4 linked regions of the Saccharomyces cerevisiae S288C genome follow. The protein of the gene in region 3 binds, or shares a complex with, the protein of the main gene of each other region. Each region holds a gene or a part of one and is shown on either strand. Other genes may lie near its edges. The genes, in order: RET1, RPC53, RPC37 and RPC17. A codon is read from its position in the direction of its gene.

Region 1 (5,663 bases), on a different chromosome or scaffold from region 3:
TTTAGGTTCTTATGTTGCAGTACAACGTGAAGTTAAGGAAGAAAAGGCCAGATTAATGAGAGAAAGTATGGAAGAACAAGACAAAGAAAGAGAAACAGAAGAAGCAAAATTATTAAACAGTCTGGAAAGTGATGATGACAACGAAGATGTTGAAATGTCAGACGCTTAACAACTCAGCAAGATTTGATTTTTTGTCTTGAATTCAATAGTTAAGTCTATAAATGTGTAAAATAAAGAAAAGTCTTTTTTAAAGCGTATATATCATTGTGCTCACATGTGCTAACATGTGAGCACTCCAAGCTTTCTCTTGTCAGCTGGATATTTTTATATTTTGGCCGGTTTATGGATAGAAAACACGTCAAACGTTCGATGGATCTTATAAAAAGTAATGATGTAAAGCAAGGTACAAAAATGAAAGAAGTACGGTTTACTGTTATATAATTTTCGAAATCGTTCAACTCTCTTAAAGTTCCTCACGAAATAGATATGATTGCTAACATAACGCAAAATTTAGTACAAGATATATGATTTCTTACTGCTGGAAGATATCTTCCAATCTTAATCTTGGGGCTATGTTCATGGATAATAATTCCTGGAATAACAGTTTTGCTGCATATGGAATAGTCATCTTAATAATATTCTCAGCACTTTTGCAGGTAGTACACCAACCACTATAGCCCATTAATCCACATTTATCGCAGACATCAACTTCAAAAGCATCTGAACTAATCATCAACCTTTCTAACAGCAATTGTGAAGCACCATACGCGATTACACAATCCCTCTCCATCTCACCCAACCTCAGACCACCATCTCTAGATCTACCCTCAGTTGGTTGACGTGTCAAAACAGCCCTTGGACCACGAGCTCTTGCATGCATCTTATCTAAGACCATATGCTTTAACTTTTGATAGTAAATGGGGCCAAAAAAGATGTAAGCCTGTAAACACTCACCTGTTATACCTGAATATAACATATCCTTACCGGAATAGTTGAAACCTTGGTCTACCAAAATCTTAGACATATCTTCAAGTTTAGAACCACCAAAACAAGTACCATATTCCAATGTACCATTCAATACACCAGCTTTACCCGATATCAGTTCGATCATTTTACCCACAGTCATACGAGATGGAAAACCGTGAGGGTTCATGATAATGTCTGGAACTATACCTTGATCGTTGAAGGGCATGTCTTCTTGCTTTACAATAATACCACAAACACCTTTTTGACCATGTCTAGAAGAAAATTTGTCACCTAATTCTGGCCTTCTGTTTTGTCTTAGCAAAACTTTGATTAAAGCTTGATCGTTATCCGAAACAGACATCATAACTTGGTCAATGTGAGAAGGTTCTGGACCTCTATATATTACCGGAGCTTCCCTATATTGAGTTTGGACGTTTACGTTGTTTGGGTTTGGGGCGTCTGCTGAGTTAGTTGGAACTGACTTATTTATATAAATTTGTCCACTTTGGACCTTCATACCCACCTCACCTAGACCATCAGGACCAAGAGATTGATGTTGCCAGATAGGATCTCCATTTTCATCAACTCTCATACCACCGATGATATCTTGGGTATGGTTCGCATATCTTTTCAAAACAGTGGTTGTCTTTCTACGTGTTTCGCAACGGCCGAAACCTCTATCGATGGATGACTTATTCAAAACCAAAGCATCTTCAATATCATAACCAGAATAGGACATGACAGCAACCGTAGCATTTTGACCAGCAGGTAATTTATCATAATCGATCAATTCAATTGTTTTGGTTTTCACCATTGGCTGTTGTGGATAAGTCATCAAGTATAATAATGTATCTATTCTCTTGAATTGATTGTAGGCGATTGCACCAATCGCTTGCTTACCCATCGCACATTGATATGTGTTACGAGGGGATTGGTTATGATGTGGATATGGAATTAAACCAGCAACAGCACCTAAAATTGTGAATGGCTCGATTTCTAAATGTGTCATCGAGGGAACTATATCTTTTTCATACAATGCAATGTAAGAATCGTTTTCTTCATTGACATCTAAATATTCCACCAATCCGAGTTTCAAAAAATCATCGAAATCTAACTCACCATCTAATAATTTGCGTAAATGAATATCTTTCACGCGAGATTGACCATCAGAAACAATGATTAATGGCCTACAAATTCTACCACCATCTGTTGCAATATGAACTGCCATTTGGTGAGAATTTGAATAAATTGAGATAAACTCCGACACTTTACCTGTTCTTCTCAGATGTCTGAACTGAGTAACGAATTTTGTTGGGAATCTGATTGAACCAATTAAAGTACCATTCAAATAAACACCATAGTTTAAATGCAAGGATGCACTGTCAATCAATGTTATGTCTTCTACACCAAGAACATAACATAATTTCTTTATAGGTTCCTCTTCGTCATCTGTAGTAATATGAGTCATTAATGCTAAATTTTTCACTAGACCACACGCCTCACCTTCTGGAGTATCTGCAGTACAAAGCATACCAAATTGAGAAGGTTGTAATGCTCTTGGACCGGAAACTTTTCTTGATTTTTCAAACTGAGAAGAAATTCTTGTCATCATACCCAATGCGGAAATATAAGATAGTCTGGAAAGAACATGTGTAACACCCGCTCTTTCCATCTTAAATCTTTTAAGAGACCAATTACCGGTTGAGATAGCTCTGTTCAGTCCGCTGGTGATGTTATTTGAATGGACGTTAATTGACAATAATGCATCGTATTCCATAGCCCTATTTGGTTTTTTCAAGACCTTATCAATGCTTAGTTTAAAATCATTATTAAACTTTTTGAACAAATCTTCGAACAATAAAGAAATCAATTGGCCTGCTAATTCAAGACGTTTATTACCAACATAATCTCTATCATCAATCATCTTAGGGTTATACATTGCCATCACCACCCTGCGCGTCATCATGGCAATATATAAAGCCTTTTCTCTAAAGTCAAGGGCTTCCACAGTCAAATGTGCAATAACCGTGGTAGCAATGGCCTCTATACCCTCTTGCAGGATAGTCAGTTTTTGCCTTCTCATTGTCTTTACTTTTGCACCAATATACTCTAAAGCTTGCTGTTGTGTGTAAATATCTAATTTCGAAGATTCTTCCAAATTGACTGCAAAAATATCTTGGTAGCTACTATCATTACCGCAAACCAATTGCATAATTTCTAAATCTGATAAAATACCACAGGCTTTGAGAACAATAGCAATAGGAATTTCTTCAGCGATGGAATTGTGCTTCAAATAGATCTTGCCATTTTTGGTAATGACATAAGTCTTAGATTTTCTTTCATGGGTAGATGAAGTAACGGAGGCCTGAACAATGCCTTTCTTCTCATCTGCCTCCACAATAATACGATTCTTGGATAATTGTTCTTGAACAAGAATTACTTTTTCGGTACCGTTAACAATAAAGTAACCACCAGGATCCAACGGACACTCGTTTAATTTAGCCATTTTCGATTCATCAGCATCATATAGGATACATTTATTAGATCTCAGCATGATCGGCATCCTACCAATTTCCACGTCTTTATGCATAATAATGTTTCTACCTCTAGTGTATTCTATATCCACGTAGATTGGTGCAGAGTATGTCATATCTCTAAGCCTACACTCATGAGGCGGAGTCAAATAATCTTTTGTCGAAGAAGAGGACTTCTTACCCACTCTAATATCGACGTACTTCAGGTAGAATTCTGGATCAACATCACTCAAAATTAATTGATTTGCCTTTATAATTTTTTTTAAATCTGTATCAACGAAGTAGTTAAATGAGTCAAGATGTTGCTTCACCAAACCTTTAACCTTCAAGAATGCTGGTAAAAGGTGCCACTTATCCTGAGCAGTATTGATTTCATCAGTTAGTTTCTTACCTTTATATACTGGTTTCAATAAATCATCAAAAGCCTCGTCTTTCACATGCTTATGTATATGAGTTTTCCGTCTTTTTGTCGCAGCAACCATTTTTCAACAAGCACTAAGTCCCTAGCGATTAAAACGCTCAATTATCAACACTTTAAACTCCCTTTAATTCTTTCCTAACTTGTCCATATATCATCACTTAAGCATAGATCGAAAAATTTTCAGCTCATCTCACAATTACAATTTCGTCCGACGTGATCTGGAAAATACGCGCCTGCTTTATGGAACTATTTATATCTTTATGTGTAGTACACCTAACAATAAGGAATATATAAAAATAATGCACCTATTAAAACCTTTGGGAAGTGCCAACTTTGAATCATCATCTTTCTTTGAACACCGCGCTGCGACCTTTGACAAGAAAGACGAGATCACTCAACCTGACAGACCCGATTCCCCTGGTTCCCCTCTTCCGCTTTGCACAGCCCTTTTCGCTTAGTTTGGAAGCCTAGGTCCGATCCCCAGTGCTATTAATAGTTTACAATAAAATAGGATCGACGTTGCTATTGATGGATCGCATAGCACAGCAATATCGTAATGGCAAAAGAGACAATAACGGCAATAGAATGGCTTCTTCCGCTATATCGGAAAAGGGCCACATACAAGTCAATCAAACTAGAACACCTGGTCAAATGCCCGTCTATAGAGGTGAAACTATAAATCTGTCTAACCTTCCCCAAAATCAAATTAAACCGTGCAAAGATTTGGACGACGTTAACATACGGCGGAACAACTCTAATAGGCATTCTAAAATACTTTTACTAGATCTGTGCGCTGGCCCCAATACCAACTCATTTTTAGGCAATACCAATGCTAAGGATATCACAGTTTTATCGTTGCCGCTACCCAGCACTTTGGTGAAAAGGTCGAACTACCCGTTCGAGAACTTACTAAAGAATTACCTTGGATCTGATGAAAAGTATATTGAGTTCACAAAGATCATCAAAGATTATGATATTTTCATTTTCAGTGATTCGTTTAGCAGAATTTCGAGTTGTTTAAAGACAACTTTTTGCCTCATTGAGAAGTTTAAAAAGTTCATCTGCCATTTTTTTCCATCTCCTTATTTGAAATTCTTTCTTCTCGAAGGCTCTCTGAATGATAGCAAGGCCCCCTCATTAGGAAAAAATAAGAAAAATTGCATCTTGCCCAAATTGGATTTGAACTTGAATGTAAACTTAACTTCAAGGTCAACTTTAAATTTAAGAATAAACATACCTCCACCCAATGATTCAAATAAAATATTTTTACAGTCTCTGAAAAAGGATCTAATTCATTATTCTCCTAATTCTTTGCAAAAGTTTTTCCAATTCAATATGCCTGCTGACTTAGCACCTAACGACACGATTTTACCGAATTGGCTAAAATTCTGCTCCGTAAAAGAAAATGAAAAGGTAATATTAAAGAAACTCTTTAACAATTTTGAAACTTTAGAAAATTTTGAAATGCAAAGATTAGAGAAATGCCTGAAATTCAAGAAAAAGCCTTTACATCAAAAGCAGCTATCACAAAAGCAGAGGGGTCCGCAATCCACGGATGATTCAAAATTATATTCTTTAACTAGTTTGCAACGACAGTATAAAAGTTCTTTGAAAAGCAACATACAGAAAAATCAAAAGCTAAAATTAATTATACCAAAAAACAACACATCTTCTTCGCCATCACCATTATCTTCCGATGATACTATAATGTCACCAATAAATGATTACGAACTTACTGAAGG
Region 2 (3,389 bases), on a different chromosome or scaffold from region 3:
TGGAGCATACGCCTGGACTTGCTCTTCATCTACTTCATCCTCTTCTTCTGTACTAGTGCCTTGGTCAGACTCAGGAACACGTAAGTCATTCTCATCTACATCTTCGCGGCTGTCGTTAGTAGAATGCAATAAAGATGAGCCTCTCTCTATGTCTGGTAAAGGGAAGTTGCTCATCTCCTGGCTATTAAGAGAAGGATTAACTTCATCCGATTGTAAACCAAATATTCGCGATAAGAAAGTATTCTTCCCATGAGAGTTGGGTAACTGGTATTCATCTCTCTCCATAACCTAATAATTCCGTGATTTTGATATTTCAGGCTGTTCTTAAATGTCTTCTTATCAAAGTGAGATACTCATTACTTCACGGTGGTTATGGCGCTTCTTTTTGTTTAAAGTGTGGCTCCCCTAAAGTTCCGAAACTGGGTAACAATAACTAGAATAACATTACCAATGTTCAAAGAGGATGAGAAATTGTAGAAGACAAGACGTCAATAGTACCTTTTGAATGGGAATCTAAGCATCTTAATTAGTGTAATTTGTTCTAGAAGTATTTATGACTGTGTATATTCATTTATATACTCGACAGATGCGAGTGCGATTAGATTTGAGGTGTGACTACTATTTTACCGTCCACACGGCCTAGAAGTTCCGCTGAGGATGCATCATCAGCGATACTTAATGCTATAACATCTTGTAAAAATGTGGTTTCGGCACCTTTGCCAATATCCATCACCACATTTCCAATTTTCACGGAAAGTTTTCCAGATTTGTGAACCCGTATAGACCCAACCTTGCCGGCAAGTTCTCTAGTAGACAAAGCATCCTTCGTGTCCTTCTTTTTAATATTCTTCTTCTTCTTTGAAGGGTCGCTAGCCTGGGTTTCCATGTCTTCTTTTTCTTCTTTCACAGCGGGTCTTTCAAAAGCTGGTAACCTAGTAGGTAACTGGAATACCATGAATCTTTCTGGTTTATTATTCATTTTCTTTAGTTTTCGTAATATATGCTGATGATCTGCATTTAATAATTCCAACTCAGCGGCCGCTTCTTTCCCATCAACCGATTGAAACTCCTTTTCAAGTCCAAGATCTGCCAGTTTCTCATTGACTTGCCTTTCTCTTTCTTCCAAATAAGATTGTAATCCGGTTCCGACAGGCTCTGTCTTCACACTGGGGGTTGGTTCACGAGTTGGCTTTTCTGAAAGAGCTTCTTGTATTTCTCTTTTGACAGTTTCAACGTCTTCGTGTCTTACGCGGACAGGTCTCACAGGGAATAACTGTTCAATCCGTTTAGATCTCCATTCTTCGTCATCCATGTCGACGTCACTGCTCTTTTCACTTTCGCCGTCATCTTCGTCCTCTATGAGATTGCGTGCCTCGAATTCTTTTCCCATATTGAACTTCTTCTTAGATTTGGACGCTACACCTTCATTATCATCGTCTTCTGCCTCATTCTCAGAGCTCTCAGCACCATTGTCAATAGTTTCCAGGCCCTTTTGCACAAGAGATGACCCGCTTCCTTCTGATTTGATGAATCCTCTTCTCAAATCACCCTTCTCACTTACAAAGTTCCCAGCCGCCAATGGACCGCTAGAGATAACGTGTGTGTTATTTAAGTATTTGGCCATTCGCCTTTGCTGGCCGCCAGCGCCGGTTACTCTTTTATTCTTGTTATTGAAATGTTTCTTGTCATTACCTCTCTTAGATTCCTCCTCTAGCTTTACTTTGGACGCAGCTGCTTCTCTTTCTTCCTTGGACTTTCTTGCAACTGCTTTTGGTTTAAACTTTAATGAGGGCTTGGCAGATCCTCCTCCATTGGAGGAGGAATCTTTTAATGATGGCAAGCGCCCATTTCCTTTATTACTGCTCATACTTAATGAATGCTATCCCGCTTAATAAAAAACAAGATTACGCTTCGACTTTCGGTTAGTCTAGCAAATTATAAATACCTCAATATCTTTCTAGCTGTCCTCTTTTGAATTGTTCTCTTGAATACCATAATTCTCTGGTCATTATCTTCTGCTGATCAAAAAATTGGACTTTGCAGGGCGGATGAAAAATTTTCAAACTGCGCTTCTGCAATGAAAAAAAATTCAATAATGAAGCTCATCTCATCATAGCTCATCTCACTGATGCTTTTATACAAAAAGTTTTGGAGGAAGAGAAAACATATTAGAGTGGGTGTATAGAATAATATGGTACGCAAAGGCTCAAACAGAACTAAGACCTCTGAAGTTGGGGATGAGATTAATCCGTATGGTTTAAACGAAGTTGATGATTTTGCTTCTAAAAGGGAAAAGGTTTTACTTGGACAATCCACCTTTGGCGACAGTAATAAAGATGATGACCATTCTCTGTTAGAAGACGAAGATGAGGAAGAAGTCTTAGCCATGGATGAAGATGATGAGTCAATAGATGAAAGAGAAGATGAGGAAGAAGAAGAGGAAGAGGAACTAGATGGTGCTGCAGCCTATAAGAAAATATTTGGTAGAAACTTAGAAACTGACCAGCTTCCTGAGGAAGATGAAGAGAATGGTATGTTAGACAACGAGAATGCCTGGGGGTCCACAAAAGGAGAATATTATGGGGCTGATGATTTAGATGATGACGAAGCTGCTAAGGAAATAGAAAAGGAAGCTTTACGACAACAAAAGAAGCATCTGGAAGAACTTAATATGAACGATTACTTAGATGAAGAAGAAGAAGAAGAGTGGGTCAAAAGTGCCAAAGAATTTGACATGGGTGAATTTAAGAACTCGACCAAGCAGGCTGATACTAAAACTTCCATAACGGATATTCTAAATATGGATGACGAAGCAAGGGATAACTATTTAAGGACAATGTTTCCTGAATTTGCTCCACTTTCAAAAGAATTCACAGAATTAGCTCCAAAGTTTGACGAATTAAAGAAATCTGAGGAAAATGAGTTCAATAAATTAAAGCTAATTGCACTTGGAAGTTACCTAGGCACAATATCATGTTACTATAGTATCTTGTTGCACGAACTCCATAATAATGAAGATTTCACATCTATGAAGGGACATCCGGTCATGGAAAAGATTTTAACGACAAAAGAGATTTGGAGGCAAGCCAGCGAATTGCCATCTAGTTTTGATGTGAATGAAGGAGATGGTTCTGAAAGTGAAGAAACCGCAAACATTGAGGCCTTTAACGAAAAGAAGCTGAATGAGTTGCAAAACAGTGAAGATTCTGATGCAGAGGATGGAGGAAAACAAAAGCAAGAAATTGATGAAGAAGAAAGAGAAAGCGATGAAGAAGAAGAAGAAGAAGATGTTGATATTGACGATTTTGAAGAGTACGTAGCACAATCACGTCTGCATTCTAAACCGAAAACATCATCAATGCCTGAAGCTGATGATTTCATTGAATCTG
Region 3 (3,280 bases):
AACAAAAGGGCATACCCGTGACTCTTATTGTCGATAGCGCGGTTGGAGCGGTAATCGATAAGGTTGACAAAGTGTTCGTTGGTGCTGAGGGTGTTGCTGAATCAGGTGGTATTATAAATCTCGTGGGTACCTATTCAGTGGGTGTTTTAGCACATAATGCAAGAAAACCATTCTATGTGGTCACTGAAAGTCACAAATTTGTTCGTATGTTTCCATTGTCTTCAGATGATCTACCTATGGCCGGCCCTCCTTTGGATTTCACACGTCGTACGGACGATCTAGAAGATGCATTGCGTGGGCCCACGATCGACTATACCGCCCAAGAATACATTACTGCATTGATTACAGATTTAGGGGTCCTCACTCCAAGTGCCGTTTCAGAAGAGTTAATCAAGATGTGGTATGATTAAAAAAAATCACATAATATATGCACGCAATGACTTAATAGAAAAGGAGAAAAAGCGCAAGAGCATCCTTTATGTGAAACTGATGTCTGATGCTGTTCTTTCTTCATGATGCATTATGTACTTCAAACTAGATTATCTATATAGTCTTCTTGTTTCTCTAAGGCTACTAAAGTTTTATCTTCAGCTTCTTTCACGATAGTATCTTTGAACTGTTCAAACGTGCCTTCTGCCCAGGTCAATTCAATATTAGCCTCTTCATCGGCGACTTTATGTGCCAGCAGGGAGCCAGTGAGTCTGTTTTGCGAAGGGTCGTTGACGCTCTTTACAGACATGGTAACCACTTGAGCGCGTTGTGATGAAGGATTAGGGTTCCTTCTGGCGTCCTCTTGCTTTCTTGTTACATTTGCGTCGTCGATATATTTGAAAAATGGCTTCAATTGTGCTACCCTCTCAATAGGTACCAAATAAACCTGCATATCTTTGACAAATGCTGCATATTGGCCATTGTTTTCCACACCCACGCCTTTTAATGTTTGGACATTAACCCCATTCCATTCGCTCTCAGCCTTATCCTTGTTATAGAAGGCCTGCTCATCCAAAGGAATATCTATTTCCCATAGGTGCGACTTGGGTTTATATCTTGCTGCAGAGATAAACGGATGCTCAGCAGGTTTGCGTCCTACTAGCCTTGGTCTATTAGCATACTGAAACACGTGCAGTGACTCCTCTTCTCCGGAGATCTTCAATGGAAACTCTTCGATCACTGGGTCATCCTCTTCTTCTTCACCAGTATCATCTTCAGCTTTTACTTCTTCGGATTTTTCCTCTTGCTCATTAGCTATAGCGCTGTTTGTTCCGTTCTCATCCGCTATCATATCAATGTCGTTAGATTCATCCTCAACATCAGCACGGTCCTGCGTCCTGTCTTCCTCATCCTCTTCAGTAACAAACAACTTGTTGTCAATACTCATCTATAACACTAGCCTATTCCACTTTCACCTTGCACTGCTTGAGCCAGATCATTTAAGCTCATCTCTCGCTTTTATCCATCTTTTGCATTCATTGTAACATTTCTTTTTTTCTTGAATAATTTTGTCAGAATACTAACCCTAAGGCCTGAAAAATGAACAGAGTTTTTATAAAATTTCAGTTTAAAATTGAATGTTGCCCTAACAATATGGATTAAAAACCCTGACATATTAGGTTTCCATTTTACTTGAAAAATTTGCGATGAGCTTAGGAAAATAAAAGATTGAGTACTTGTATGTGATATTTCTAATTTAAGAAAGTACGATTGTTTATATTCTTTTTCCTTTGGGATTATTCATATTCCAAATAAGCATACTTATTCAGCAATTTAACACCAAGATGAGCGATGAAGATTCTATGCTGTTAAACTTCACTACCAATGAGGACACTGCAGGAAGTTCCTATAAGCAAGCTGCCAAGGTGACAGGCGGTAGATGGAAGGATAGAAGAAGAATGAAAATGAAGCTTGAGGGCAAGACAGTCTCGAGGAAAAGAAAGGCGAACACTACAGGGGACGAAGGGATAATTCCGGGTAGAGGCGAGAATTCTATTAAAAAATTGCATAAGGAGAGTTCCTATAGTTCTGAAGAGCAGGAAAAATATAAGGGTAGAAATGCTCATAACACTCAAGGGAGAACTCTACCAGCCGATTCTCAGTTTGTTTCATCCCTGTTTACATCTAACAGAGAGATTACAACTGCGGTAAACACTAATATTCATGATGAAAACGTTGCCATCAATCCGTCTAACGCGCCCTTGAAAGGTGATCAGTTTGCGTCTTTAGGTGTCTCTAGTCTTCTTGTTTCTCATCTGGAGCAAAAAATGCGTATTAAAAAGCCTACGAGCATCCAGAAGCAGGCCATACCTCAAATAATAGGTAACGCGGGGAAGAACGATTTTTTCATTCACGCCCAAACAGGCTCAGGTAAGACTTTATCGTATCTTTTACCTATAATATCTACTATTTTGAACATGGATACTCATGTTGATCGTACTTCTGGTGCATTTGCATTGGTTATTGCTCCTACACGAGAACTAGCATCACAAATATATCATGTTTGTTCCACGCTTGTGTCATGTTGTCACTACTTGGTCCCATGTTTATTGATTGGTGGAGAACGTAAGAAATCAGAAAAAGCTAGATTGCGTAAGGGTTGCAATTTCATAATCGGTACACCAGGTCGTGTTTTGGATCATTTACAAAATACAAAAGTTATCAAGGAGCAATTGAGTCAATCTCTAAGGTATATCGTATTGGATGAAGGAGATAAGTTAATGGAATTGGGTTTTGATGAGACGATCAGTGAAATTATTAAAATTGTTCACGATATTCCCATCAACTCCGAAAAATTTCCCAAGCTACCGCATAAGTTAGTGCACATGTTATGTAGTGCTACACTTACTGATGGTGTTAATAGGTTAAGAAACGTGGCGTTGAAAGATTACAAATTGATTAGCAACGGTACCAAGAAAGATTCTGATATAGTAACGGTTGCGCCCGATCAACTATTGCAGAGGATTACTATTGTCCCACCAAAGTTGCGTCTTGTAACATTAGCTGCTACTTTGAACAACATTACCAAAGATTTCATCGCTTCCGGTCAACAGTCCAAAACGCTGCGTACAATCGTATTCGTATCATGTTCAGACAGCGTGGAGTTTCATTATGACGCATTTTCAGGAAGTGACGGGCACCATAAAAATCTAACGGGTGATTCTGTAAGACTATTGACAAAAGGAAACACTATGTTTCCTTGTTTTTCAGATTCTAGGGACCCAGATGTAGTGATTTATAAATTGCACGGTTCTTTATCCCAACAAATGAGAACCTCTACATTGCAGCA
Region 4 (2,636 bases), on a different chromosome or scaffold from region 3:
TCTCTTAGTATGAAAAAGCTCTTCGAAAGACTATATTTTTGAAAGCTTTAATATGTTTATAAGTTAAATATTGTCGAACTTGTTTGCGACAGCTCTTGAAGTCACGGTGCGTCTTTTTTTACTCGTCAACTGGTATAACAATGCGTATGACAATTATTATATAACTATTACTTTATTCTTGCCATGAAGGGATTACTGTAACGCCCTCAACTAGTATACCCTTTTAAGCCTCGACAAAAATACAGAATAAACAAAAGTTAAATCTCACCGAAGTTGCTTGTGGTACTGGCTTTACAGACGTTTATAACGCAGCACTAAATTTCCAAATAATAACCTTCCTCCAATGGAAATAAAAAAAATCGAGACTAACCCAAAGTGTGCGCAATAAACTCTAAAAAATAAAGTATATTCTTGTAAATATTTCTATATGCTTAAGTTCAATAATACATGCATACTCATTGAACATGTTATATTGTTACACAACAAAGTAATTTCTGTTTTTCGGAAGTGCCAGTCCAAATCAATTCAAAGCACTGTACACTCATGCGTAGCCAGAGATGATCTCTAGCATTTCCTCAATTGTTTTTTCGTCAAATCTTGCATCACACTCCTCCACTATGGAGTAAAGGTGGACCATATTGGCAGGAAGTTGATTGACAATCTGCAGTTTTTCAGCCTTGAATAATTTAAAAGAATTCAGTTTAGTCATCAACTCAGCAAAGCTTTCATCGCTCATTTTGCTTATACCCGATTTTTCAGCATCTTTTGCACCACTGCTTTCTCGTTCCTCGCCTTCATCTTCCTGGTTGATAAAGTTTTTGTTTATACTGAGATAGTTAACCACATTGCGAGTAATACCTTGCAATTCAGGATGATTGTAGGGCCTATTCTGCTTACCTTTCGAGCGACTTTTCTTCAGCGCAGCCAAACTTTTTTGGTCCCAAAGATGTTTTTTTTCTAGATCTGTTAGGAACTTCAAGACTTCATAGTCACTTAAAAATGCATTCCTTTCCTCAAGAACTTTCATAACGTTTAAAGTTTTTTGTTTAAGTGTCGATTTTTTCAGTGGTGGGTGTTGGATTCACTCAACTTCTCTTCTACTGTGGCTGTTATTTGCTTAACTTTCATAGATCGATGGCATTGAAAAAAATAATTTTTCAGGCAATTTTCCTTTTTTTACTTGGTATAATTTTCAGGAATTGAAGGATTTTTCAACGAATTAGCCTTGTTGGCGCAATCGGTAGCGCGTATGACTCTTAATCATAAGGTTAGGGGTTCGAGCCCCCTACAGGGCTAATATTTTTTTCTTGCCCACTTATTCAAGGAATAAGTGCTAATTATCTTTCAACCTTGCAGCGAAGCTTTCTTTTGTATTTCATCTCATAGAAGGTGAAATATCACACTATTTTGTAAATAGAAATAGTATATGTAGTTCGTGGAGAACCAGACTGCAGACTATCAATAAAAGGTTACATTCTGTTCAACTCATGTGACCAGAAGTTTGATTAAGCAAAATTGTTCTTCTCCTTAACATATGATATTATCTGAAGGAATCTAGAAAAGCTTGATCATTCCGCAGAATAACCTATCAAAATGATTGGGAGGACCATTTTATAATTCATGCTACATATATAACATTATACAGTAAACCCTTTTAATGTAATGGATTGCTCATAGTTGTGTACACGAACTGTTTGCTAATAAGCTTGTTTTAGCTTCTATTGCTAAAGAAATTACTGACGAAGAGTTTATGACAAGGAAAGATGAACGAAAGTACAATTTACCGGTTAGTGTCAGCGCCAAAGGATCCACGCACTAGCAAAATAATGAAAATTGTGCCGGATATTCAAGACTAAGAGATGTACAAGTTGAAATATAAGTAACCCTCGGCATAAACTACTCTGTCGTAAGATCATTAACATGTCGATTTGCCTGTGACATTTAACGATTCACAAATAGCGGAATTAAATGATACTTTATCTATCCTAAAACGCACGAAGCATACTTTAGAATGCATGCTCTTAGTAAGTATGCATTGCCGACTTCTCTGTAAGACTTTTATCTCGTTTCAGACCTAATCTGCAACAAGAGAAAGGGAAGAGGACGGTATTGTTACGACGTTATTGGCGGCTAGGAAAGAGAGAATCACCATGAACGATATGGTGCAAAAAAAATAAAAAAATAAATTGAAACGGACAGGAATTGAACCTGCAACCCTTCGATTGCAATCTTATTCCGTGGAATTTCCAAGATTTAATTGGAGTCGAAAGCTCTACCATTGAGCCACCGCTTCAACTTTTGTTGAAAATTTAGGCTAACATTTTCTAATAGGTGACATTACAAAATCCAGTCTTACAGTTATGCTTAATATTGACCAGTAGTCATATTACTGGCATATTATCTGTTAGAATAGTGACATACTATTCTTTATTACTGATGAATTTGTAATTGTGAAGCAATTAGACGCAAACGTCATTGATGTGTCAGGATGGAGAACGATATAGACTATGTGATAATGTAAAGTTAAATATCTGTTACTTGAACAATTAACTTGACGTTTGTATATGTAAGGATATGGGTCATTACATAGAAACTATAGTAAATAGTCTCAGTATTGTTATATTTGTCATGTTTGA

Evidence for each region.
Region 1: RPC37 (region 3) and RET1 share a complex: the UniProt entries of both Saccharomyces cerevisiae proteins name them as parts of the RNA polymerase III (Pol III) complex.
Region 2: the proteins of RPC37 (region 3) and RPC53 are in contact, whole or in part, in a cryo-EM structure (PDB 7Z0H), measured with the Saccharomyces cerevisiae proteins. Residues at the interface, in NP_012950.3 of Saccharomyces cerevisiae: Ile71 (codon at 1,168), Glu72 (codon at 1,165), Glu73 (codon at 1,162), Phe74 (codon at 1,159), Pro75 (codon at 1,156), Leu76 (codon at 1,153), Lys77 (codon at 1,150), Ile78 (codon at 1,147), Glu81 (codon at 1,138), Glu83 (codon at 1,132), Ser84 (codon at 1,129), Leu85 (codon at 1,126), His86 (codon at 1,123), Val87 (codon at 1,120), Phe88 (codon at 1,117), Gln89 (codon at 1,114), Tyr90 (codon at 1,111), Ala91 (codon at 1,108), Arg93 (codon at 1,102), Pro94 (codon at 1,099), Arg95 (codon at 1,096), Leu96 (codon at 1,093), Val97 (codon at 1,090), Arg99 (codon at 1,084), Ala102 (codon at 1,075), His104 (codon at 1,069), Tyr112 (codon at 1,045), Trp119 (codon at 1,024), Asp126 (codon at 1,003), Gln128 (codon at 997); in NP_010131.1 of Saccharomyces cerevisiae: Arg195 (codon at 1,285), Ile196 (codon at 1,282), Gln198 (codon at 1,276), Leu199 (codon at 1,273), Phe200 (codon at 1,270), Leu223 (codon at 1,201), Ser224 (codon at 1,198), Glu225 (codon at 1,195), Lys226 (codon at 1,192), Leu294 (codon at 988), Lys295 (codon at 985), Met297 (codon at 979), Asn298 (codon at 976), Asn299 (codon at 973), Lys300 (codon at 970), Pro301 (codon at 967), Glu302 (codon at 964), Arg303 (codon at 961), Phe304 (codon at 958), Met305 (codon at 955), Val306 (codon at 952), Phe307 (codon at 949), Gln308 (codon at 946), Leu309 (codon at 943), Pro310 (codon at 940), Thr311 (codon at 937), Arg312 (codon at 934), Leu313 (codon at 931), Pro314 (codon at 928), Ala315 (codon at 925).
Region 4: RPC37 (region 3) and RPC17 share a complex: the UniProt entries of both Saccharomyces cerevisiae proteins name them as parts of the RNA polymerase III (Pol III) complex.

What each region holds. Positions count from the first base shown.
Region 1 is NC_001147.6:729,476-735,138, forward strand, and holds RET1 (DNA-directed RNA polymerase III core subunit RET1), read right to left. Parts: upstream 3,983-5,663; coding exon 533-3,982; downstream 1-532. Other genes in the region: mRNA-binding ribosome synthesis protein NOC2, read left to right, coding at 1-169; tyrosine protein phosphatase PTP2, read left to right, coding at 4,450-5,663. UniProt on the Saccharomyces cerevisiae protein: DNA-dependent RNA polymerase catalyzes the transcription of DNA into RNA using the four ribonucleoside triphosphates as substrates. Second largest core component of RNA polymerase III which synthesizes small RNAs, such as 5S rRNA and tRNAs.
Region 2 is NC_001136.10:181,821-185,209, reverse strand, and holds RPC53 (DNA-directed RNA polymerase III subunit C53), read right to left. Parts: upstream 1,868-3,389; coding exon 599-1,867; downstream 1-598. Other genes in the region: autophagy protein ATG9, read right to left, coding at 1-285; rRNA-processing protein SAS10, read left to right, coding at 2,192-3,389. UniProt on the Saccharomyces cerevisiae protein: DNA-dependent RNA polymerase catalyzes the transcription of DNA into RNA using the four ribonucleoside triphosphates as substrates. Specific peripheric component of RNA polymerase III which synthesizes small RNAs, such as 5S rRNA and tRNAs.
Region 3 is NC_001143.9:485,868-489,147, reverse strand, and holds RPC37 (DNA-directed RNA polymerase III subunit C37), read right to left. Parts: upstream 1,379-3,280; coding exon 530-1,378; downstream 1-529. Other genes in the region: GCN3 (translation initiation factor eIF2B subunit alpha), read left to right, coding at 1-410; DBP7 (putative ATP-dependent RNA helicase), read left to right, coding at 1,776-3,280. UniProt on the Saccharomyces cerevisiae protein: DNA-dependent RNA polymerase catalyzes the transcription of DNA into RNA using the four ribonucleoside triphosphates as substrates. Specific peripheric component of RNA polymerase III which synthesizes small RNAs, such as 5S rRNA and tRNAs.
Region 4 is NC_001142.9:413,744-416,379, forward strand, and holds RPC17 (DNA-directed RNA polymerase III subunit RPC17), read right to left. Parts: upstream 1,028-2,636; coding exon 542-1,027; downstream 1-541. UniProt on the Saccharomyces cerevisiae protein: DNA-dependent RNA polymerase catalyzes the transcription of DNA into RNA using the four ribonucleoside triphosphates as substrates. Specific peripheric component of RNA polymerase III which synthesizes small RNAs, such as 5S rRNA and tRNAs.